4 linked regions of the Saccharomyces cerevisiae S288C genome follow. Changing the gene in region 2 together with the main gene of any one other region gives a genetic interaction. Each region holds a gene or a part of one and is shown on either strand. Other genes may lie near its edges.

Region 1 (3,488 bases), on a different chromosome or scaffold from region 2:
TGGCACCCAATAAATGAATCTATGTTCACTCTGGCGTGCTATGACGGCTCGCTAAAGCATTTTGATCTTTTACAAAATCTAAACGAACCTATTTTGACTATTCCATACGCCCATGATAAGTGTATCACCTCGTTATCATATAATCCAGTAGGACATATATTTGCCACAGCAGCTAAGGATAGAACCATAAGATTTTGGACTAGAGCGAGGCCAATTGATCCTAATGCATATGATGATCCAACTTATAACAATAAGAAGATAAATGGATGGTTTTTTGGCATCAATAACGACATCAATGCTGTGAGAGAGAAGAGTGAATTCGGTGCGGCCCCGCCACCACCAGCTACACTTGAACCACATGCGTTACCAAACATGAATGGATTCATCAACAAGAAACCGCGTCAAGAAATCCCAGGCATCGATTCAAACATCAAGAGTTCCACATTGCCAGGTTTAAGCATATAAAAGTGCGCTTTGACGAGATTTTAGGATACATAAATAAAAAGACTATATAACATATTATTTGTGATAATATCTCTCATTTCTGGGGAATGTACCCCACAGGCACCACTGTTTACTTTTGTCGCTGATATCTTCATAGAATTTTTCTTTATTCTTTGGGGTATTCTTCTCGGTGTAATATTCAATGAAAAATAAATATCGCCAGTTTCTATCATGTTCGTCCAAATGGAATGGTCTAGAGTTTATAGAACACATGTTGAGTGAATGGATTTTTAGTATGTTCAAAACATCTACCAAAGAACCAGGGTCATCTTGACGAGTAGTAAAGGTGAGTAGGTTAACCCGTAGTAATCCAGTGTCTTCTACTTCATTGTCGCCTGCGTTCTCCCTTCTCTTCAATACTAAAAATCTTGTTGTATTTCCTAGCTTATCATTTATCGAATGTTCAATGATGTACGCCTTATGCAATTGGGCAGCTGTTTCACTAGCAATGGCTAAATGCAGAATGTTGTCGCAATCGGCCGTTGATGACCGAATGCATTGGTTCACTGATTCAGATGTGGAAGAACAATCCAATCTTATAAAGGTGACCTGCGGAAATTTTTCTGCCATGGACCTTAAGTAACATTCAACCTGGCCCCATACTTGCGGATGTGAGTGTATTATGACTTCTTCAAAATTTCCAAGGGATGCAATACCATTTGGTAGTTGGATTGGGCTGATTAGACAATGGGTAATGGGTACATATTGCTCCGCTATAACTTCTATATCTGGTGTAATTCTATTAGTATCTGCTGGAGCAGGTAAGGATAGGGCTTTTTTGATCATCCTATCACGCAAGAGATCATAGGAAAAAACTACTTGTCCATTGGTGGAATTTTCCAACGGTACCACTGAATAATCTATACTAGTGTCGTTCTCCAATTGGTTAAAACATTGGGGGATAGAGGCTGCTGGGAGGTACTCAACATCAGATGTTGATTGAAATTGTTGTAATGCAGCTTGATGGGAATACGTACCTTTGGGACCCAGAAAAAGAACCCTCAAAGTCTTGCTGGCCATAATTGAAGGATGAATGCGGAAATATAATGAAGTTGCTTTTCGTACTTTTTTAGCCTGTTCTTTCTGCGTATTATATTCATCTACTAAAATTTTTATTTTCATTTTTCATTATGAAAATACAAGAGTCATGCTGATAACTGTGTAAAGAAACTGTACGCTTGTCGCAGATGATGTAGTACGTATTTTATTTACAGGTGTCATTAATATATATATATATATATATATACGTATACGGAAGTAATTCTTCGTTAATTTTCCATGGACTGTGATAGCGAAATCAATTTCTCGACGGTGAATCCCGGAGAGGCCTTAGAGAAATCTCTTAACAACTGCACTCTCTGTTTAGCAACTGGAGTTTCTTCACCCATTGCACCATAAAACCTTTGCACGTTTAGCAATAACAGCTGTGCATCCTGTACATTCACGTTTGTATCCGGTTCAACATGGCCATTCATAAAAACAATTCCCTTATCCTTGACCAAATCAGAATGGAACTGCAAGGTAGTATGTGGCCTTGCAAATTCCTGGTGTAGTTTGTATTCTGCTAGGGAAGTCATCATACAATGTGTTGTTTGGGGTCCGACAAACTGCCATTGGATGTAGTGTAGTTCCATTCCCTGTTCTTCGTTCGGTTTTGCATCCTCAGATTGAACTTGTCTAGGAAGTGGCAACACGAATATAGGGTTATTCCTGGCATTTGCCATCATCTTATCATAAACGGAGACAGGAATCACAGCGCATAATGTATTATCTTTTTGTGCCCATCTTGCTCTCCAAAGAAACTCTACTTCCTGTTTCGATAAGTCCTTCAGTTTTCCAACATCCAAAAAAGAGTCCAATGTTTTGAAGGGAACTTTAGGAGCACTTGGATCGAGAGGACTTCTTGATTTCGTCATCAAATGCTTGGAGTTGTTATTTTCCATTTGAGTTTTTTGTTGGTAATCCTCTAGTTCTTTCAGGGGGTCGATTTTATTAAATTCCCGCTTCTTAGACTCTATAGTCTCTTTCAAATGATTTTTCAACTCTTCTATGCTGTTAAAACCTTGTTTTTGAGCCTCTTCCAAAAGTTTCTTTCTATACTTCTGCTCTGGGCTGGAAGAATAAAAACGAAAAACAGGAACTGTTCCAATTGCCTTGTTAAAAATGGGCGACAGCTGATTAGAAATATGGATTCTAGTGCCGATTTTTCTGGTTAGTCTCCACATAGTTATTCTTAAATCTCTTTTGTTCTCTATTTTCAAGTCTTGATAAGTTCTTCACATCCTTCGATTACGGCGTCAAAATAAGCGTTATTTCCATTCGGGTGAGTTGAACCATTGATAACAACATGGTTTAACGATACTTTGAAAGGTTTAGGCGGAGCCAACCATAATGGATGAATCGGTGGATCCTGTGGAGCTGCTTCTACGACTACTGATACGGCACAAACCTCATCTGAAACCATATGCCTACAGACAAGATAGCTGGCAAAGGGTGCTCGATGAGTACAACAGACAGACTGGGTCAAGATATAGACAATCAAGGACGTTAAAAACCAAATTTCGTCGACTGAAGGACCTCTTCAGCGCAGATCGAGCCCAATTCTCTCCTTCCCAGTTGAAGCTGATGGGAGCACTCTTGGACGAAGCACCAGAACATCCAAGACCAAGAACTAAATTCGGAAATGAATCATCTTCATCCTTATCATCATCTTCTTTCATTAAAAGTCATCCGGGGCCTGATCCGTTTCAACAATTATCATCCGCTGAACATCCGAATAACCACAGCTCCGACGATGAGCATTCAGGCTCACAACCGCTGCCCCTGGATTCAATAACGATTGGAATTCCGCCTACTCTTCACACAATCCCCATGATTCTGTCTAAGGATAACGACGTCGGGAAAGTCATCAAAAGCCCTAAGATAAACAAGGGTACAAATAGGTTCAGCGAGACAGTACTGCCTCCACAAATGGCTGCTGAGCA
Region 2 (7,796 bases):
TGACTTTTTCCATTCCAACTCATTTCGGATTACTCCTTTAACTAGCATCCTAGTCGATCTATCATGTAAATCTGCAAACTGTATGCTGATTTGATTGTAAATTGGTATCAACTGTCTCTCTCTTATTTTCAATCTCTTCGTAAGATCATTTTGTTTTTCCAAAGATAACTTTTTTTCTGTCAACGTTCTTCTCAAATGTCCATATGTGGAGTCTAATCGAATCATCGTCTCTATCATTTTCTCCTTACGGTATTTTATGCTAACTACTCCGTCAGGTTCTAACACACCTCCCCTAGATTCAACATCGGCATACATTTCCATTTGTTCAGGATTAATAGTTGGATCTATAACAACCCATGATCCGCCCCTTAATTCACCAAAGGGCGGAATGTATATCAGTATGGGTTGTTTGTAGTCAACCAGAGCGTCAACAATAAAAGACCCGTACTTTAGTACTTCATTGTACATATCCCTTTGACCGCCAGAAAATCCCCTCCAATTGGCTAAGATAATCAATGGTAATTGCTCACCATAGTTAAAATCATTTATAGTTTGAGCTGTTTTGAACGCGGAATTTGGATACCACACCTGTCCTGCTTCTTTAACGGAAAACTCTGAAGAATCCAGATTAGCTGGGTCAGCGGGGATTATTTCTTCGATAGTCTTAGTTTCTACCGCAATAACACCCACGGGAATACCTCCAAGACGTGCTCTTCCAACTATTACACCTTTGGCCCATCCAGATAATGTCTCAAAAAACGAATCCTTATCAAATAGGCCTGACTGGAAGTTGTTATTTGAGTCCCATTTACCCTCTATCAACCACCTTGCCTCATATGGCACTTGCTTGGCAGGTTTGAAGTCTACATCCCTATCCCATCTATCCATAGTTTCAAGAAGTGGAGGACTCATATCTCTTTTCGCCGGGACATATGATAACCATGTCATTATTTTTTCGATGGCTTTCATATCATTACTGGCTGTTAAATGCGCTATTCCGTTTTTATACATGATTTGGGTTCCGCCAATTTGTAGGTTAGATGTATAGATATCGGTACCCAAAACTTTATTAATCGCCGATGCACCCGTCAGTATGATAGGCTTATCCTCCACCTGAATAGTACGTTGTCCTAGTCTGACCAGATAGGAACCTATACCAACGGACCGACAAGTAACAGCAGTAATAGTGAAAATGTCTCTATACGCTTTCGAAGTGGCACCAGCAATTAAACCCGAGCCCTGTAAACATTCAACACCTAAACCCTCTTCGAATCCGACTATTGCTTTAATAATATATCTCTCTTCACCGTATACCATCTTGTGTTCAACAACAACCGAATTTCCTTTCCCAGAATCTTTCAGTAGCTGCATGTCTTTTGGAGCTAAGTATAAGTACTGGAAACCCTTTGTTGGATCAGAGGGGTCATTCCATGCTACACGAAATAGAGGGATCAGCTCTTCGGCTATACCCAATTTAGCTCCTGAATTCGCCGCCAAGTATATCCTCGGGATCCCTCTCTCTCTTGCATAATTTGTGACCCTATCAAAAAACAAATCTTCTCTCGGTCCAAAAGATCCAATATTGTAGGTAATATCATTAGAAATCACGATCATGTTACGCCCTTCAGGATATTCAGGTGTCTGAACCATAATCTCAAAAGCAACCATCCCTATATTATTAAGGCCTGGCTCCCTGTTTACTTTTATTAAATTACCGTTTTGTTCTATCAATTCAACCCAACTAAAAAAACTGTCATTCAGCTTATGTTTTGGAAAATACCTTTTCCACTGTTGGATTGCAGCTTGATGAAACAGACCTGGGAAATCGTACACATATGTTGTACCCATGAATTGAGCTTTGTACCTTTTAGGTTGTAGCCAATCCTTGACCGAGTAAGGAAGAGAGAGAGATTTCTGGCTATAATGGCTCTGCTCACTACACGGTTCCAAAATCAGATTCCCATTTTTCCCTATCTTTTCGTAATATGTCTCAATTTTTACCACATACCCAGATTTATTAGAAATAAGTAATCTAAGCGGGGCTGGCTTCTTTGTTTCTAGGCACTCAACAGAGATGCAAATTTCTACATCTGTGATTCTTTCTTGAAACAATCTGGTTTCGTGAGTCTTTAGAATTGTACTCACAATTTCCTCGAGACGATGTACTGGTATGTTAAGAACTGTATTGAAACTTAAAAAAATATGATTCAAGTCTGAATTTGAGATGTCAACTGCTCCTAGATGTTCTAACATATAAACCACTTGAGCATTGATTTCCGCTTTCAAGTTTTCTTCGGTTGTTTTTTGATCATTATACATGAAGGAATTTATGATTTTCCTGACAAAGAACCTTTTATCTAGCGGCGTAAATTTGCTAATACCTTCAAAAATGCGTATACTACTATCGTATGTAGGTAGTGATCTGATTTTATAGTTCGACATTTTTCCTAACTCTAACGGTGCTTCATAGGATGGATCCATATTTCTTATTTGAGAGATTTCATCGTACGTAGTTCCATCAAAGGAGTAAAATTTAACAGCGGGCGCATTCGCGGCGATAAATGCAAATGTAATACGATTAACCTTGAGCTTGGATAGACCTCTCTCATTTTCATGAAGTTTAATTTTTAAAGTTTTAATTAGATCATTTTCACTTCTGTAACGAATAGGAGATAAAATATTAACAATAAGAGAGTTCTCTCCGCTGGAAAGTCTTTCCTCAGGAATATGAATTTGTTCGTATACCTCGTCTAATGTCTTTTCCAGAGATTCAAGCGCACGCATGTTGACAAGAAGACCAAAACTATTTGCTGAGCTCTTACCTGATGTTGAGGGAGGTTTAGAAAGTTTTGTAAACTCATCACTCTCACCATCAGAATTGACTAAATAATTTCTTAATGAGCTGAATTGCCATGACATTAGTAAATCAGGCGCTCCTTTATGAATCTTAATACTTTTTAATTGATAATTGCCGTAGGCATACCTTGCATAAATTTCAGATGCTATACTGGAAAGAGCCGTATCTTGATGGCCAAAAAAAAAGAACAAATCCTGAAGTTGTATCAGATTTGAATGTATTAAATTACCAAAATCCCTCATACAGGAATATATGTTCCTGCTGTGAATGTTTTCGGCACCAGTATCCTTTATGTGCAATTGCAGGAGAGTTTTAATATGCTCTTTTCTTTTCTTTATGGGAGGGAAAATCCCTCTGAGTAGCACTGATCTTGCCTTTACAGCAACCTCTTTAGCCCACTTAGATTCCAAACTTGCCAAATCATGTATAACAGCCCTGAATTTTAAAGACATCTTAGAGGAATCCTGGCACAATGGCTCGTATTCATGCAATATTGCAGTTACTAACTTGTTCTTTGCGACTACGTTAGCATGCGATAAACTTATGCACAAAATTTTTTTCAAGTTTGTAAGGTCTTTCCTCCGCAGATTTAGTAAGTTTCTTTCTTCATGTATATCATGATTTTCAAAAATTTTCTCAACAGCATAGTACTTTTTAATCAACTTTAAAAAAATTTCACATTCGTGATTAGCTAAACCTTCGCTATACCTTTCACTAATTTTAAGAAGTGGCTGTAAGGCAACATAAACTACATGATCATTTGTATTTTCTTCCAAGTAGCGCTTCATTAATTTGTGCAGTTCCTTTGCAGGAAAAGAAACAGATTTCTTGACTAGATTTCCCAGCCCCTCATTCAATTGCCTTGGTAGTCTATTGCGTACCGTAGAAATTTGGGAATCCCATTCTGAATAAGGAAGCCTACCATCTCTCAATATTTTTATCAACTCTTTTAGAGTAGTTTCTATTCCAGAGTTTTCATGATATCCATTGAGAATATTTTCTAACCTATTTATTAAGACTCTGAGCTTATGGTTTGGTCGGCTACCCTCTATTAGCGGTGGACCTAAAACAGGTAATTCTCCGCGGTATAAAGACGATTCGTTAGCTTTGGACGGCGAATCCAAAGTCAATTTTGCGATGACATCACCAGCCTCAATTATGGAACCGGGCTGTCTTAGTAACTCAATTACACCATCACTTTTCGCTACTAGTGGCATCTGCATTTTCATTATTTCTATTTCTGCATATTGCTGTCCAGCAAAAACGTGATCACCACTTCGGACCAAATATTTCACCAATTTCCCCGGAGTTGGAGAGATCACTTGAGTGGGATTGAGTTCAGCTTCTAAAAATATGGTATTGGAGTCTATCGAAAGTCTTGTACCTCTGATATCGTCCTTCCAATAAACTGTATGGCATTTACCGTCAACGGAGATCAACAAGCAGTCACTGGACAATTTTTGAACATTAACTTCACATTGAGACTTATTGATAGAAAGAATAAATTGTTCTTCAGATGATTGAGCAACATTGAACAAGTATCTATTATTATCGAAAATGAAGTCAACAGGAAACTTCGTTTTAAGAAAATCTTTAGGTGGAACTTGGCCCCTCCGCAATAATTCCAAATACTTATTCCTCACCTTTTCTGTGAAAACGTATGCTTTCATTGCGGCACCACAGATAATAGCGAGCGTTGGATCTAGTTTGCTATCGGAAGATAAATTTTTCAAAATCAAATCATCTAACCAACCAGTCGATATGTTATTACTCTCAAAGTCCCGAGTTTCTAATAGCTCTATCAGGTACTCTATGGGGGTTTTGAATTCTCCTCGGATGGAAAAATCTTTTAGAGCTAAAACCATGTTTTGCTTTGCATCTTGCCTATCGTTTCCTACAGCAAAAATGTGCCCAAATTGGGAATCTGAAAATGAGTGAATAGCACCATTATTTCCTACTGAGAAGTAACCCCAAACATTGGAAGAAGAACGAAAATTGAGCTCATGTATTTTCCCAGTGGAGGGCTTGAAACCTTCATTAGGATCTTCTGAAGTGATCCTGCATGAAATACAATGGCCTTTTGGCGAGGGTCTCTTTAAATTTTTAAAATCAATATACGAAGTTCCCGTTGGATCTAAACCATAAAGTTTTCTGATATCACTTATCATGTGCATAGGAATGCCCATGGCGATTTGCAGTTGAGTGGCAGGAAGGTTTACGCCAGATATCATTTCTGTCGTTGGATGCTCTACTTGTAGTCTCGGATTCAGTTCTAAAAAGTAAAATTTATCATCTTTTGGTGAATATAAGTATTCGACAGTGCCCGCAGAAACATAACCTACCAATTCACCTAGACGAATTGCTGCGCGTTCCATCCTTTGAAACGTTTCAGGCTTGGTTATTGTCACTGGTGCCTCTTCTATAATCTTTTGGTGCCGCCTTTGTATGGAACAGTCTCTCCCAAACAATGTAATGTTAGTGCCATATTGGTCAGCTAATAACTGTACCTCTAAGTGACGAGCATCAGTGACAACTTTCATAACAAACATAGGCGACCCAGGTGTCTCATTCACTGCTTGGCGATATAATGCAATAAAATCATCCTCATTATCTACTCGCCTAATGCCCTTACCTCCACCACCTTCGGATGCCTTAATCATTACAGGAAATCCTATTAATTTAGCCTTTTCTAAAGCATCTTCAGGTGAGGAACAACATCCCCTTACATATACATCATCCGGCACAGATACAAAGTTCGTCTTGTTATCGATATGGATAGTGTCTATATGTGAACCAGACCAAGGGATACACGGGATTTTAGCGCTTTGTGCTACAATAGTGGAAGAAATCTTGTCACCCAATGATCTCATAGCGCGTCCAGGAGGACCAATGAATAGTATTTTCCTTTGTGAACTAGCTAACAGCTCAGGAAGACACGGATTTTCAGAAGCATGGCCCCATCCAGCCCAGACCGCATCCACATCCGTTTGCTCTGCCACGTCCAGTATTAAGTCTATGTTGGCGTAATTGTTGTTGTTGGTACCCCCTGGTACCTGCACATATTGGTCTGCCATTCTAATATACTCCGAATTTGCGTGTAAATCATCAGGTGTCGCCATTACCACGAATTGAATGATTTTTTCATCATTGAACGTCTCGTACGCCCATTTTCTTATAGATCTCATTTCTTTCACCGCAGCAATACCATTGTTTGCTATTAAGATCTTTGAAATAACAGTATGTCCACCACGTAAATCAACAAAATCTCTTAATATTGAAGGTTGGGCACTTTCCACAGTATTTAGCCCTATGAACTGGGGCGGTAATCGAGTATGTTTATGAATATTGCCTCGATCCACATAATTGGAATACCTTCTTCTAGATGGAAAATTCAAACCTATTCGAGATGAATGCCTATACGAATGGGCAAAAATGCGTTTTCTGTATTCAGGGCGCTGTCCTTTCAACCGTACTATCTGGCTGCCCGTTATATTATAGAATCGATAAGGATCCAAATATAACGCGAGCTTGTACTGTCCTATTCGAATGCAAGTAATTGTGAATATGGTAATGTAAAAGTGAGAATGTATCCGGCGAGCCCCCCAGCTTTGGCCGTGTGTAATTGTCTTCCCTTTCTACCCAAGATGACTTCTTCTTTATCATTCTTCATTATTCATCTTTTCTTGTCATCTGCCGCCCACCCATTTTAGTTACCCTAACGGAAACATTGATGAATGATGCTATTATTACTGTCATAAGCAATAAAAAGAGAGGTTCCTACTACTTCTCCCGTGGAAAGCTAGCGATAGCCTTGTACTCTATCTCACTTTCAGAATGCGTACACATTTATGTTTAAAGAGGCGTTTTGTGCTAGTTTTGTCTCAACGTGTATTTTATCGGTTGTAATTGTACTGACAATTTTCGGGCCTCGTTTGGCTGTCGCACTGAAATCTTCGACAGGGTATCGAAGAACGATACAACGATATGCCTATAAAGGTTAGTTAGCCATGATATTACTTCCTGGTTAGCTGGTGCGCTTCTTAGTCCTAACTTGCAAATTTATATCTACGTATAGAAAACTGTCAATATGTCATTACCGTTCTTAACTTCTGCACCGGGAAAGGTTATTATTTTTGGTGAACACTCTGCTGTGTACAACAAGCCTGCCGTCGCTGCTAGTGTGTCTGCGTTGAGAACCTACCTGCTAATAAGCGAGTCATCTGCACCAGATACTATTGAATTGGACTTCCCGGACATTAGCTTTAATCATAAGTGGTCCATCAATGATTTCAATGCCATCACCGAGGATCAAGTAAACTCCCAAAAATTGGCCAAGGCTCAACAAGCCACCGATGGCTTGTCTCAGGAACTCGTTAGTCTTTTGGATCCGTTGTTAGCTCAACTATCCGAATCCTTCCACTACCATGCAGCGTTTTGTTTCCTGTATATGTTTGTTTGCCTATGCCCCCATGCCAAGAATATTAAGTTTTCTTTAAAGTCTACTTTACCCATCGGTGCTGGGTTGGGCTCAAGCGCCTCTATTTCTGTATCACTGGCCTTAGCTATGGCCTACTTGGGGGGGTTAATAGGATCTAATGACTTGGAAAAGCTGTCAGAAAACGATAAGCATATAGTGAATCAATGGGCCTTCATAGGTGAAAAGTGTATTCACGGTACCCCTTCAGGAATAGATAACGCTGTGGCCACTTATGGTAATGCCCTGCTATTTGAAAAAGACTCACATAATGGAACAATAAACACAAACAATTTTAAGTTCTTAGATGATTTCCCAGCCATTCCAATGATCCTAACCTATACTAGAATTCCAAGGTCTACAAAAGATCTTGTTGCTCGCGTTCGTGTGTTGGTCACCGAGAAATTTCCTGAAGTTATGAAGCCAATTCTAGATGCCATGGGTGAATGTGCCCTACAAGGCTTA
Region 3 (7,817 bases), on a different chromosome or scaffold from region 2:
TAGAAAAAAGGAAAAAAAGGATACGGTACAAAGATTCAATAATTGTATCAATATTTCGAAAAATACTTTATCAAAAAAGCAATACTTGAAGGAGAAAGGAAAAAATTCGCTGTCTTCTTCACTTTTACGACAAAGAAAAATGTGCCCTTTTCAACTAAAAGTCATGAATGAATAAATAAATGATTACATATGCGTATATTTTATAGTGAACAACTTCTGACATATTATCCCGAATGTGAGTAATCATGCTTGTGCTGTGAATCTGTGTTGGTGTTTGGCTGTGACCCTGCCAAAAAGGTGCTCGAAGTGCCGGAAACAATTCCACTTTTATCCAAACTGCTCGTAGTGGACGAGTGGGATAACGTTCTTGTTAAATATTTTCCAAAAAGTAAACTGTTTGGGCCAAATGAGTCGCTATGTTCTAATACAAATTGGCTATGATTGGACCCTGAGGTGTGATGATCCCTTCCAGAAAAGCTTGCCTTTTTATTGGGGTTCTTGTGCGAAATTATTCGAGCAGTAATCATGTTATTCCTGCTACGATTGGCCTCACTGAGAGTACGACTATATCTTTCTATCTCCTCAGCGAAATTTTCCTCAAAAAGACGCACTAGAAGATCATGTGATGGTTTTAGATCCTTTGATGGTAGTAGTTCTGCATGCAACGTTAGACAGCGACCTAATACTGCAACAAGCTCATCAAAAGCTAGCGTCAATCTTCCTAAATCATCAGTACTGAACTGCTTGGATGTGGAGGGTTCTAAAAAGGCCTTGTACTGTGATATGCCTCCATTAACTGGAGCTGATATTGTTCCCGTAATATTTGTAGAAAGCTCGGTAAATAAATCGTTCACATCACCGTGGTCCTTCAGAGTTTTATTGCACATGTTTTCAAGCCCATATAACTCCTGTATTTTAACTTGTAAGGAACGAATTGCATTTTCAAGTGGAGAAAGTTTGCTCTTCGTAACCTTTACAATTTCTGATCTATTCATTAGTGTTGGAAAAGTATTCATAGTATGATACGTATATTCCTCCACCCACAGGTCAGTGACTCCTTTTGCGCCTGGCAAACGTCGAGAATTACTGAAAGTCCTCAAATCTCTATTCTCAATGTACATCCGCACTTTGTTGTTAATTGAGCTTTTCTTGTCACTACTGTTGTAATTATCGGATATACTTAAGCACGGTTCGACGGAAGCTACATGAATGTATTTTCCCATTGGAGGATTCATCAATAACATATCCACTTCTTCTTGTGAGTGTACAATATTTGACCCATGATAGCTTCGTAGAAGCCTGTCATGCATAGACGTAATGTGTTCAAATGGGAGACCCTCAAAGACGAACGATTTATTTCTTAATGATTTTGGAAAACCAAATCCCATGAAAGAAACTTTAAAATACGTTGGAACCAGTCTATCAATGGACTGTAATCTGGTATAAATGCCTGCTATTTGGTCATGTACAAAGGCCAGCCCGTTTAAATCATAATTGATCTCATCGTAGGCTTTTATCAAGTCCTTGTATACCGCTAAAGCTTTTTCTGGTTTTTGGCCTCTCGAAAAGTTTCTTGCGGATTCCTTAAGAAGATATTCCTTCCTCTCAAATGAAGATTGCTCTGGCAATGGCGGGAAAGATATTGCTTCAAGAGTATCATTAGAATCCCAAGCGTACGTACCTGCCAAGAGTTCTAGACTCAAAGCTGCTTGAACAAAGTCTTTTTTCTGAATAAAGTGGATAAACAAATCATATATCATTTTATGAAACAACTCTGGCCTGTTTGCTTCTAGCAAGTACTCGAACATCTCTATGTGCCGAGCAGTCCGATCATCATCAAATTCTTCTTGATTAGGTATTTTGTAGATTTCATTTACAATATGCAAAAAACCAAGTAAATCTCTTAAGAAATCCATACAAGCAGGAAAAAAGGTGTCAGAATCGGGAACGTGCATCATAAAAAACAAACAAGAAACAAACCTTTCCAATTCGTAATCATTCAAACGAAGCTTCCCGATTTGGTATGCGCTGAATAATTCTGGGATACATGCGTTCACTGCTGGTTGTAGGGACCCAAATATCCTCCAAAAATTTAGCCCTAATCCCCATAGTATTTTGCAACAAATTCTTGTTGCATCGATATGTCTATGGAAAGCAAAAATAAAGATCTCACGTATCAAAAATTGATTATGAACAAACAATTCAAATTGGCAATCACTCAAGGCTCCTAATCCATACTTTTTAGCATAAGTGATATTATAGTGCCCAGTGGCTAGGGCATCCCAACATTCATTTAGGATATATGCTGAAATTTTTTTCAGGTCACCCGATATCAAATAAACGGCCTTACGTGGAGTAATAGCTAACTTAGTCAAGGATGCACTTTTATGGTTTGAAACTAGTAGTATGACTTTTACATATTCTGCCCAAAGTCGCATGTCAACCCTCTTTTCAGACTCCTTTGATGGAGAAGGTGAATTATTTTCTATGATATAATCCTTGCATAAACTAAGCAATATTAGAGACGATCTTCCTAATAACGCTGATACGCCAAGCCACTTCATTCCTGGGAACCAATCTTGTTTAAAAAACAAAAAAACTGTTTTGGTTATTGTATAGACATTTTCATTCGTGATTTGTCGTGAATAAAAATTTGATTGAAAAAGAGTGTCTTTATCGCACAAGTTTATGATTTCGCTGAAAGATTGATATGATGGAAATCTGCTTGATGCAATTTTCGTTATTTCACAAATTATGATGGCAAGCTCTAGAAGAACTTCTACGACTACTTCATCATTCACTATTGAATCAACCGGTATGTAGTTGCATGGAATTTCTCTGGGAAAAAGCATGGTAAAAACTCTTCGAGGCCTCATTAAACGTGCTTTCTTACAGTACCTTCTTAAATGGACGAAGGACTTACACAAATATGGTAGTAACCTTATCAAGTTCCTTTGTAGCATGTCAAATTTGTAATCTTCGATTATTGTAATGAAAACAGAATTAACCAAGCGTAAGGATTCTACGTGAAAACATTTGTCATCGCCTGGAGTATACGGCGTAAGTAACCACTCAAGGGTTTTAGATAAAAACTGTAACCTCAGTTTATCTACGGATTCCGTATTGGTTAAATAATTTTGCAAAACCTTCTTGTTAATTAACTTCAACAGGCAATTAAACTTTGTATTCAAATATTCTTCTTCTCGAACTGAGAGTGGCCTGGAGTACATTTTTTGATTCATTTCTTTTTCCTGGCAACATTCAAACAGTCCGATCGCAAAACGAACTAAGTCTTCCACCTTACAGTGATTGGTCATTGTCTCCAGCATAGAGGGAATACTTTCTATTAACAAAATTTGATCCGCCATTATTGGCTCATCAGCAAGCATTAAAAATTTGTGCAAGCTTCTGAAAAAATGACTGAAATTAGGCATTTCATCAGAATGAGACGAACCGATTGCCAACACAATTATGTACAGGATGGTTCGGCAGATTGCAGTTCCTGTTCTAGTCCAAGAAGAATGACTCCTATCAAAGATCGTTGTCATATGTTTTATTAGTATCGGTGCAACATTGGGACATTCTAGTTCCTTTGACATGACTTTTTTGTACAGTCTATTAAACCAATATCTAGAGTTTTCTTGGTGTGTTAACATTAAATTTAAAAACTTGACGAATTCACTGAATACAATATTGGGTAAACTTGAAGAAGGGCCTTTTTTATCAGTAGCTTCATTCACCGATTCAAGAAGTAACAAATAGTGTGCTAAAATTGTGTCAAAATGCTTTAGTAAATCTTTAAAAGAAACGTTATTCAGCTGCTTCAATGTAACTGAATAGTGCTCTTTAAGTTGCTGGTCGAATTCAACATTTTTGGTTTGAAGAACTAAGAAATTTGTAATGGCAGGGTTGATATTATATCTCCGACCAAAATATGATGCTTCAAGCTCTAAATGAATTAGAGGTACTGATTTGGATGACATTATTTGGAATACGGTACCCTTTCTATATTCTATGATTTCGTTCTTTTTCTTGATATGTATATTTGATTTTGCCATCAAAAATCCATTCAAATATACCAATACTCTTAATGTCTCGTCTTCGTTCATGTTCTCTACCCCTTCTATTCTAATCGATTCGCCTATGCTCTCATTTGGACGAACTGAAACAAACTTCCAGTCCCCAGATCTCTCTTCGAGCTTATTTTTGCAAAATTTTACGGCCTTATTCCTGCAGGATATTTGAACGGTAACATTTTCTATATTTGTATCAGCTGCAGGAAGTCCATAAAGCGACACCCTACCTAAGTTCAGATAAATTCTTTCTGCTTGGCTAAACATGGTATCATAAAAGTATGTGGGAATAGATCTTATCGGTACTAAAGATGTGGAGAGCACTTTTTCCGCCTCTTGTTTGCCTATAATTTCCTTTACAGTTACCGATAAAGAAACAGCCCTAGGGTTCACAGAAACGCCTTCAGAAGAATCTTTTATTATCTTATTTATTAACCCGCCCCAACCTAAATCCGCATCCTTTGAAGAGTTGAAGTTTTGCGAATCCGAGGAATCGGAGCTATAAAGATAAAGGTTAAACCTCTGAGCTTTATTCGCAACTGATAGGCCGTTATAAAACTTGAATACCGGAGATATGTTAATAACTCCGGCAGCTAAGCCCTTTTTTACGTGGTCAATCTTATTCTCAGTCGATGAATTAAATGGAGAAAATGGGGAATGTGAACTTGACTCTTCGGTAGATATATTGTAAGATGAAATTTCCGGAGCAGTTTCTGTTGTAATTGCTATTGTTTCCTTCAGCACTACTACTAAGTATACTTTATTTTTATGGACTATCGTTTCCAAAATATTCTTGAATAACATTGCAGGAATTTCATCTAGAGCTGATTCCATATTGGACGACTTCGTCATGGTAAAAGACTCTGTTAAAACTTCGTCTTTGGTTCTCAAGTATACACAAATAGAAAGATCTTGATATTTAGGATCTGATATAGAGGGATCCCATGCCAGATCTTTCAAGTTAACCAAAATGCTCGATCTAACTGTGCCGAATAGTCCGTTAGATGAGGACTCATCATCGGACTCTACCACAGGTACAGTAGGAAAATTATTAGTTAAACCACAAAGCATTGACGATGACACTAAAGTTCTTAATTTGTCGATCTCGTATGAGAGCAATTCGCCAGTATCAATATCCCTGGCAAAAATTCCTTCGAAACCATAAGGATCTGGGTTTCTTGGAGTAGAGTTAGCAATTAGTTTATTCTTCCTGTATGTGGAGGACAAAAATTTTGCGATTTTAGTTCTTAGGGATGTTGCTGCTCTTATCAGATTTATTTTCTCAGCCTCTGTGGTTAAATTCATAGACAATCTAAATCGTATAGTGTCCAAATCATAATAAAGTTTTATCATTTTCCTATATATAGAAAACTCGCCAATTGAATACATAGAGTAAACATGCGAGGAAATAAGAGATAATATAGGACCCATTTCGTCCTTAAAGGACCTCTTTTGGTATCTGAAAAAGGGGAACGGAGGTCTCGGTGTCTTTCTTGGTTTACCAGTTGATATATCATCAGTAGAGCTAACATATAGGCTGTCACAAAAGGAGCGGGACTCACATTCTTTACTTATCAATGGTTTAAAATCCTCAGCACTAGGTGCTTTGAAAAATGGCATTGTGCTGACGGCTTTTTCTGCTTCAAAATGAACATATTTTCTAGGAAATATCACTACTTTCGGTTTCACGTCTGGCAGTACATCATTCGCCGAGTTCATATTCGATATGAATTCTTCAGGAAAGGGTCGTAAACATTGGTACGCTCTACACCATTTCTTATCCACAGATTCTTCGAAGACGTAAACTTCTGCACCCACATAAACGTTCGCATAATTGCTGTTTTCATATACCAGCTCAGGATACCTTTGTAAGGGAAGGAAAGATTTGACTAGCACACCATATATTAGCCGATCCGTGGGCAGCCAGCGCTGTGAATCCTGTTGCGACATTGTAATAGTAATCTCCCTAAAGAAAAAAAGACCCCTGTTTTATATGACTAATCTTCGGTCCTCTATAATTTCAATTGAAGCAATAATTGACTGAGTGGTGTACAAACGGTTGCTTGAACCATTTATATTATTTTCAACTCATCAAGTCATCCCCTCCTTGATATGCGTTATTGATATATTTCAGTTAAAATTCCTCCGTATTTCGTGATATATTATTCGCGAGGTGGCGAAAGCTTTGCTACTAAATACTCTACTATGACCAGTAGATTAGGTTCTATAAGGGTGCCAGAAAACTACCTAAGTGCTGGTTGACTTATAAATTTTAAAAGAGTGTTGATGAGTATGAGTTCAACTGTAATTAAATTCAGGGCTGGTGTTTGTGAATACAACGAAGATTCACGTCTATGTACGCCAATTCCAGTTCAGGGTGAAATCGAGATCAAACCAAATGAAGAGGAAGAATTGGGATTTTGGGATTTCGAGTGGCGTCCAACGGAAAAGCCGGTCGGGAGGGAACTTGATCCTATTTCTTTGATTTTAATTCCTGGAGAGACCATGTGGGTTCCAATAAAATCCAGTAAAAGTGGCAGAATATTTGCTTTAGTTTTTTCATCCAACGAAAGGTACTTCTTTTGGCTGCAAGAGAAGAACTCAGGTAATTTGCCCTTAAATGAATTGAGTGCGAAAGATAAAGAAATTTACAATAAGATGATTGGAGTGCTGAATAATAGTAGTGAAAGTGATGAGGAAGAAAGCAATGACGAAAAGCAAAAAGCTCAAGATGTGGATGTTAGTATGCAAGATTAAATCAAGGTTGTGGCATTTTTTGATAAAAAACTGAAGAGAAAAAATATACCATATCAACGCATTTGGCTGTGAACTTCTGTAAAGAGATACGGACCATAACAATAGGCATGATGATGGCATCTATAACTTCTATTGGAAGGTAAGTTTATTTTTCCCATAAATATGTATATATGGTCTATACTCTCAAATGAGCCTACATATTGTTGCATATTAACGAGGTTCCCATCTCACCGACCAACTTAGTTTATCACCTGCTTTAAATGGGATGATGCTTATGTCTTTGCCATCGCTGATAACCTGAGGGATAACTTGTTCTTTTTTGAATAATATTGCCTTATCTGAAGAAGCCACTTCGCTATCTTTAACCTCATAAAAGGAAATTCCGAAGTCGGAAACAAAGCCCTTTAAGTTCTCCAAGGCATTTTGCTCTTCAAAAACTTGGGCGATATAAGGGATCGCAAAAGATTGTGAGTAAACTCCTGCGCAAACACCCTCGTAATTGGCCTTATTTTGTACAGGATGAGGTGCTGAATCAGATCCAAAGAAAAAATATGGTTTCCCTGATACAGCAGCTTTGACTAGAGCCTTTTTGTCATTTGGAAGTTTCGCAACAGGTTTGCAAAAATTTACCGGATTTCCGGCCCAATCATCAATTGTTAAAAATAAGTGATGAGCCGTTAATGTGGCAGCAACCTTTACGTCAGTGGCTTTCTTCACGTTCTTATTTATATCCTCGATTGTCTTTATTGCCGACTCGCTAGTGCAGTGTTCCAGAATTATTTTCAGGTTTGGGAAATCATTATGCAATTTTTTCAAGGCTGGCAAAAAGGCTTCCTCTGCATTCAATACATGAATAGGTTCTTTGTCTCCATCATGGACAGAAGGTTTTTCCCCATGCAAATTTAATACCAGGTTCTCTTCTTGCATAGCCTTGAAAATTGGGTAAAATGCGCTGAAGTCATTTGGATCCACCCCAGCAGCCGAATT
Region 4 (3,667 bases), on a different chromosome or scaffold from region 2:
ACACTTAACGAGGACATTCAAGGATGTAGGGTTTACAGGCATCAAGTCCTCGGTCCTAAGTTTGAAAACTGGTGACTTCAAAACAGATATGGGCTTTTTGAATGAATTTAATTCTTTAGATATGTGGGACTACATGTTAAGGAGGCAACTACCAGATAGTAGTTGTCCTCCAAAGGATACCGACCCCACCACTCTTTTCAAAAGATATGTGGAAGAACACATAGGAAAAATCGATGACAACGCTGGCTGCTTTAGAACTTTGTATGTGGTGGCGCAAAAGCCAAAGCTGCCATATACCAAATAATTGTGCCGCCGTTCCAATTTTTTTTTAAATTGTTCAAGAATTACTTCAATTTTTACTACTGGACAAAAAGCATTATGATAAGGAGTAGTCTCCCAGTATCGTAGAACCAATTTGAAACACTTTAGCCAATATTTATTAATTTTTTTTACTTCCCATGGCATAGTACTTTGTAGGAAGATTATTTGTTCATTTACTACATTTATTACATCTATATTTATATATTCTATACCATTCATTTTTTTTTATGTTAAGCTTCTCTTGGGAATTGTTGGGGTATGAATGTTAGCAGAATGACCCAACTCTTTTTCTAGCATAACTCCTAATTTTTTATCTTCTTCAGAAACGTCACGAATTAAACTGTCCTTTTCATCACCAGAATAGTATTTTACGTCCACTTGGGAAGCCAAAGAGTGCTCTGTTTCCTGTAACGAGTCGACAGTAGCTTCGTCGATTAAAACGTATGCTATGTTAGAACCCGGGCAATCATAATTAACGTTTAGCAGAAGTCTTTCCATTATCCCTCTCAACCCTCTGGCGCCAGTTCCTTCCTTGAGAGCAAATTGAGCAACTTTCTTTAGCGCCTTTTGTGTAACACACAATCTTACCCCAAATTGCTTAAAAATATATTCATATTGATCCAATAAGGCATTTTTAGGTTCTTTTAATATATGAAATAAATCGTCTCTTTGTAGAGGCTGCAGAGCAGTTATAATTGGGACTCTGCCAATTAATTCAGGAATTAGACCAAAGCTAACTAAATCTGTGGGGGTGGTCAAGTCTAAAGCACACACTTTTTTTCCGTTATCTAATTCAACCTGCTCAAGCGTATTGCTAAATCTGAACTTCTTCGCTCTTTCTTTTTCAACTTCTTTACTATTCGATGATTCAACAGACTCTCCTGCCTTCTGTATTTTCTTCATATCTTCTATCCTTTTAACAATATGCTTATCTAAACCAACAAAAGCTCCCATAATCATGAAAAGAATATTTGAAGTGTCTACAACAAATACTTCGTCCTTCTTTGTTGTAGTTTGATTTTTTTGTCCGTCAATATCATGCTTAACAGGCCTTTTAACGGTAATTTCCACTTTATGGCCCTCAATGATTTTCAATAATGACTGTTGAACCCCTTCTCCGGACACGTCTTTAGTGCCAATGCTTGCGGCAGGCTTGGCTAGTTTATCAATCTCATCAAGAACAATAATACCTTTTTCTGCTCTCGCAACATCAAATTCAGCATTTACGAGCAATCTTTCAATGCATACTTCAACATCTTCACCTATGTAACCTGCTTGAGTCAATTGTGTACAATCTGTAATTGCAATTGGAACGTTTAATATTTTCGCCAATGTTGTTGCCAACAAAGTCTTACCAGAACCTGAGGGACCAACGACAAGGACATTACTTTTGCTTAACTCTAAATCTTCGTCAACCTCTCTACCTGCTAAATTAAACTGTCTTTGAAGATTCCTCCAACCAGCCTTTGATTCGCTGTTTCCACTGAAAATTGGTTCATCCCTATCATCCGCGATTTTCTCTCGTTCCATCAATTCTCTCTGCCTTTGTAATTCCCCTTTCTTTTGCTTGTCATTGATTCTTAAATAGTGATTATAAACTGCCACGCTTAAAACCTTCTTACCAATCTCTTGACCAACAATGTACTCATCGAGGAATTTCTTCAATGCTTTTGGAGTGGGTATATTCGATAAACGAGACTGTGCCAGTTTCCCTGATGCTGTAGCAGCATATCGACCAATTCTACTAGAATAAGCTCTAAAAAAGTTTTGGCTTGCAGATTTCAACATGAGTGTGAAATGTAATTAGAGTGCCTTGTCTTCTATGGTTTTGTTTGATGAGCCGTTTGCTTTTCTTTTTAATTTTAATATATACCACTGATGACTTATTCCCTTCTATCATCGAAAAAATATTGTCAAATTAATGTTCTCTTTTTTCAAAAAATATTAAAAAGATAAGAAAGGTACCATGTCGCAGAAAATACAGCAGCATCAGTTTCCTGATTTTTATTGTTGTTATCTACTACAATCGATTAACAAGAGGCAATCATTTTACGTTGGATCAACTCCTAACCCAGTACGACGTTTGAGGCAGCATAATGGGAAATTGGCTGTTGGAGGGGCATATCGAACCAAACGTGACGGTTCAAGGCCCTGGGAAATGATAATGATTGTGCGGGGCTTCCCAAGTAAGATAGCAGCTTTACAGTTTGAACATGCATGGCAACATGGGTACCAAACGCATTATATTGCCGAAAAAGATCGTGTTGTAAAGCATAAAGCAGGTGGAAGAACTTTACATCACAAAGTTGCATTAATGAAGTTACTTTTAAAGCATGAATTTTTTCAAAGGATGAACTTGATAGTCGAGGTTTTTAATATAAAGGCTTGGGAGGTTTGGAAACAGGACAAATTTTTTATTGAAAGAGACAGATTTCCGATTAATATACAAATAAATGAAAATGCGCTTGAAGAACCAAAGGAGAAAACTGTGGATGTTCTCATGGATCATAGTGATGAGAATTTAAAAGTGGTGGAAGCTGTATACACTAAAGTCATTGAAAATGAAAGAAACATATTCGAAACTTTCGAAAAGAAACTAACTACAGGGGTAGTGCGATGTGAAATTTGTGAGAAAGAAATTGACTACACGTCTGAAGAGCAAAATCTGAAGCCGTTTGTAGCGCTTTGCAATAATAAAGACTGTGGGTGTGTTAACCACTTGAAATGTCTTCACAGGTACTTTCTAGATGATGAACAGTTGATGGTAGGGAGAAGAAATTTGATACCTCGAGGTGGGAAATGTCCGAAATGTGATATGTTTTGCGACTGGACGACCCTAGTCAAGTTTTCGACAAGAATGAAGTTAGCTCACGGGAAGTAGGGCCTGACACAATTTTCGGTTCTTTTTTTTCTATAGATAATGGTTATATGTTATATTTACGGATATTTTTACGTTTACTTTGTAAGAAAGAGCTAAAAAGATGTAAAGATATCACTTCGTTTTTTTCCCTCAAAAAATAACTTCCCAATCTTCAGTTATGTCAAGCGATAGGTTAAGAATGGTGATCTTATTATCATTCTCATATGACGATCTAGTCGGCAATGAACTTTCTTCGCCATTTTTTTTGACTTTAATACTGTCTTTCAACGTTATGTTGTGTTGTAAATTATTCTTTGCGATAATGATTTTTTCAATATTGGTATTCCTCAAAGTATTGTGGTGAATGCCTGTCAAATTCTCGGGAATATGACTTCGAACATTTTTTAAGGTATTGTTTTCGAAAATGAACTGAGTTTCTACGTACTCACCTCTTTGGTAGCCAAAAGTTTCTCCATCATCAACATA

What was found.
Region 1: mutations in HFA1 (region 2) and PHA2 together harm fitness more than expected from each alone (negative genetic interaction), as found in Saccharomyces cerevisiae (one large-scale study listed by BioGRID).
Region 3: mutations in HFA1 (region 2) and DCK1 together harm fitness less than expected from each alone (positive genetic interaction), as found in Saccharomyces cerevisiae (one large-scale study listed by BioGRID).
Region 4: mutations in HFA1 (region 2) and MCX1 together harm fitness more than expected from each alone (negative genetic interaction), as found in Saccharomyces cerevisiae (2 studies listed by BioGRID).

Annotation. Positions count from the first base shown.
Region 1 is NC_001146.8:41,552-45,039, forward strand, and holds PHA2 (prephenate dehydratase PHA2), read right to left. Parts: upstream 1,525-3,488; coding exon 520-1,524; downstream 1-519. Other genes in the region: cleavage polyadenylation factor subunit PFS2, read left to right, coding at 1-465; ATP11 (Atp11p), read right to left, coding at 1,773-2,729; DAL82 (Dal82p), read left to right, coding at 2,896-3,488. UniProt on the Saccharomyces cerevisiae protein: Catayzes the decarboxylation/dehydration of prephenate to phenylpyruvate.
Region 2 is NC_001145.3:677,523-685,318, forward strand, and holds the start of HFA1 (acetyl-CoA carboxylase HFA1), read right to left. Parts: upstream 6,043-7,796; coding exon 1-6,042. Other genes in the region: ERG12 (mevalonate kinase), read left to right, coding at 6,945-7,796. UniProt on the Saccharomyces cerevisiae protein: Catalyzes the rate-limiting reaction in the mitochondrial fatty acid synthesis (FAS) type II pathway. Responsible for the production of the mitochondrial malonyl-CoA, used for the biosynthesis of the cofactor lipoic acid.
Region 3 is NC_001144.5:964,103-971,919, reverse strand, and holds DCK1 (guanine nucleotide exchange factor DCK1), read right to left. Parts: upstream 6,024-7,817; coding exon 225-6,023; downstream 1-224. Other genes in the region: protein kinase regulatory subunit ATG17, read left to right, coding at 1-3; proteasome regulatory particle lid subunit RPN13, read left to right, coding at 6,360-6,830; URA4 (dihydroorotase), read right to left, coding at 7,041-7,817. UniProt on the Saccharomyces cerevisiae protein: Forms a transiant heterodimeric complex with LMO1, that acts as a guanine nucleotide exchange factor exchange factor (GEF) for the small GTPase RHO5. DCK1, LMO1 and RHO5 relocate to mitochondria upon oxidative stress and trigger cell death.
Region 4 is NC_001134.8:673,026-676,692, forward strand, and holds MCX1 (Mcx1p), read right to left. Parts: upstream 2,110-3,667; coding exon 547-2,109; downstream 1-546. Other genes in the region: YBR225W (uncharacterized protein), read left to right, coding at 1-304; SLX1 (endonuclease), read left to right, coding at 2,288-3,202; glucan 1,3-alpha-glucosidase ROT2, read right to left, coding at 3,332-3,667. UniProt on the Saccharomyces cerevisiae protein: ATP-dependent unfoldase that stimulates the incorporation of the pyridoxal phosphate cofactor into 5-aminolevulinate synthase (HEM1), thereby activating 5-aminolevulinate (ALA) synthesis, the first step in heme biosynthesis. Up-regulates heme biosynthesis.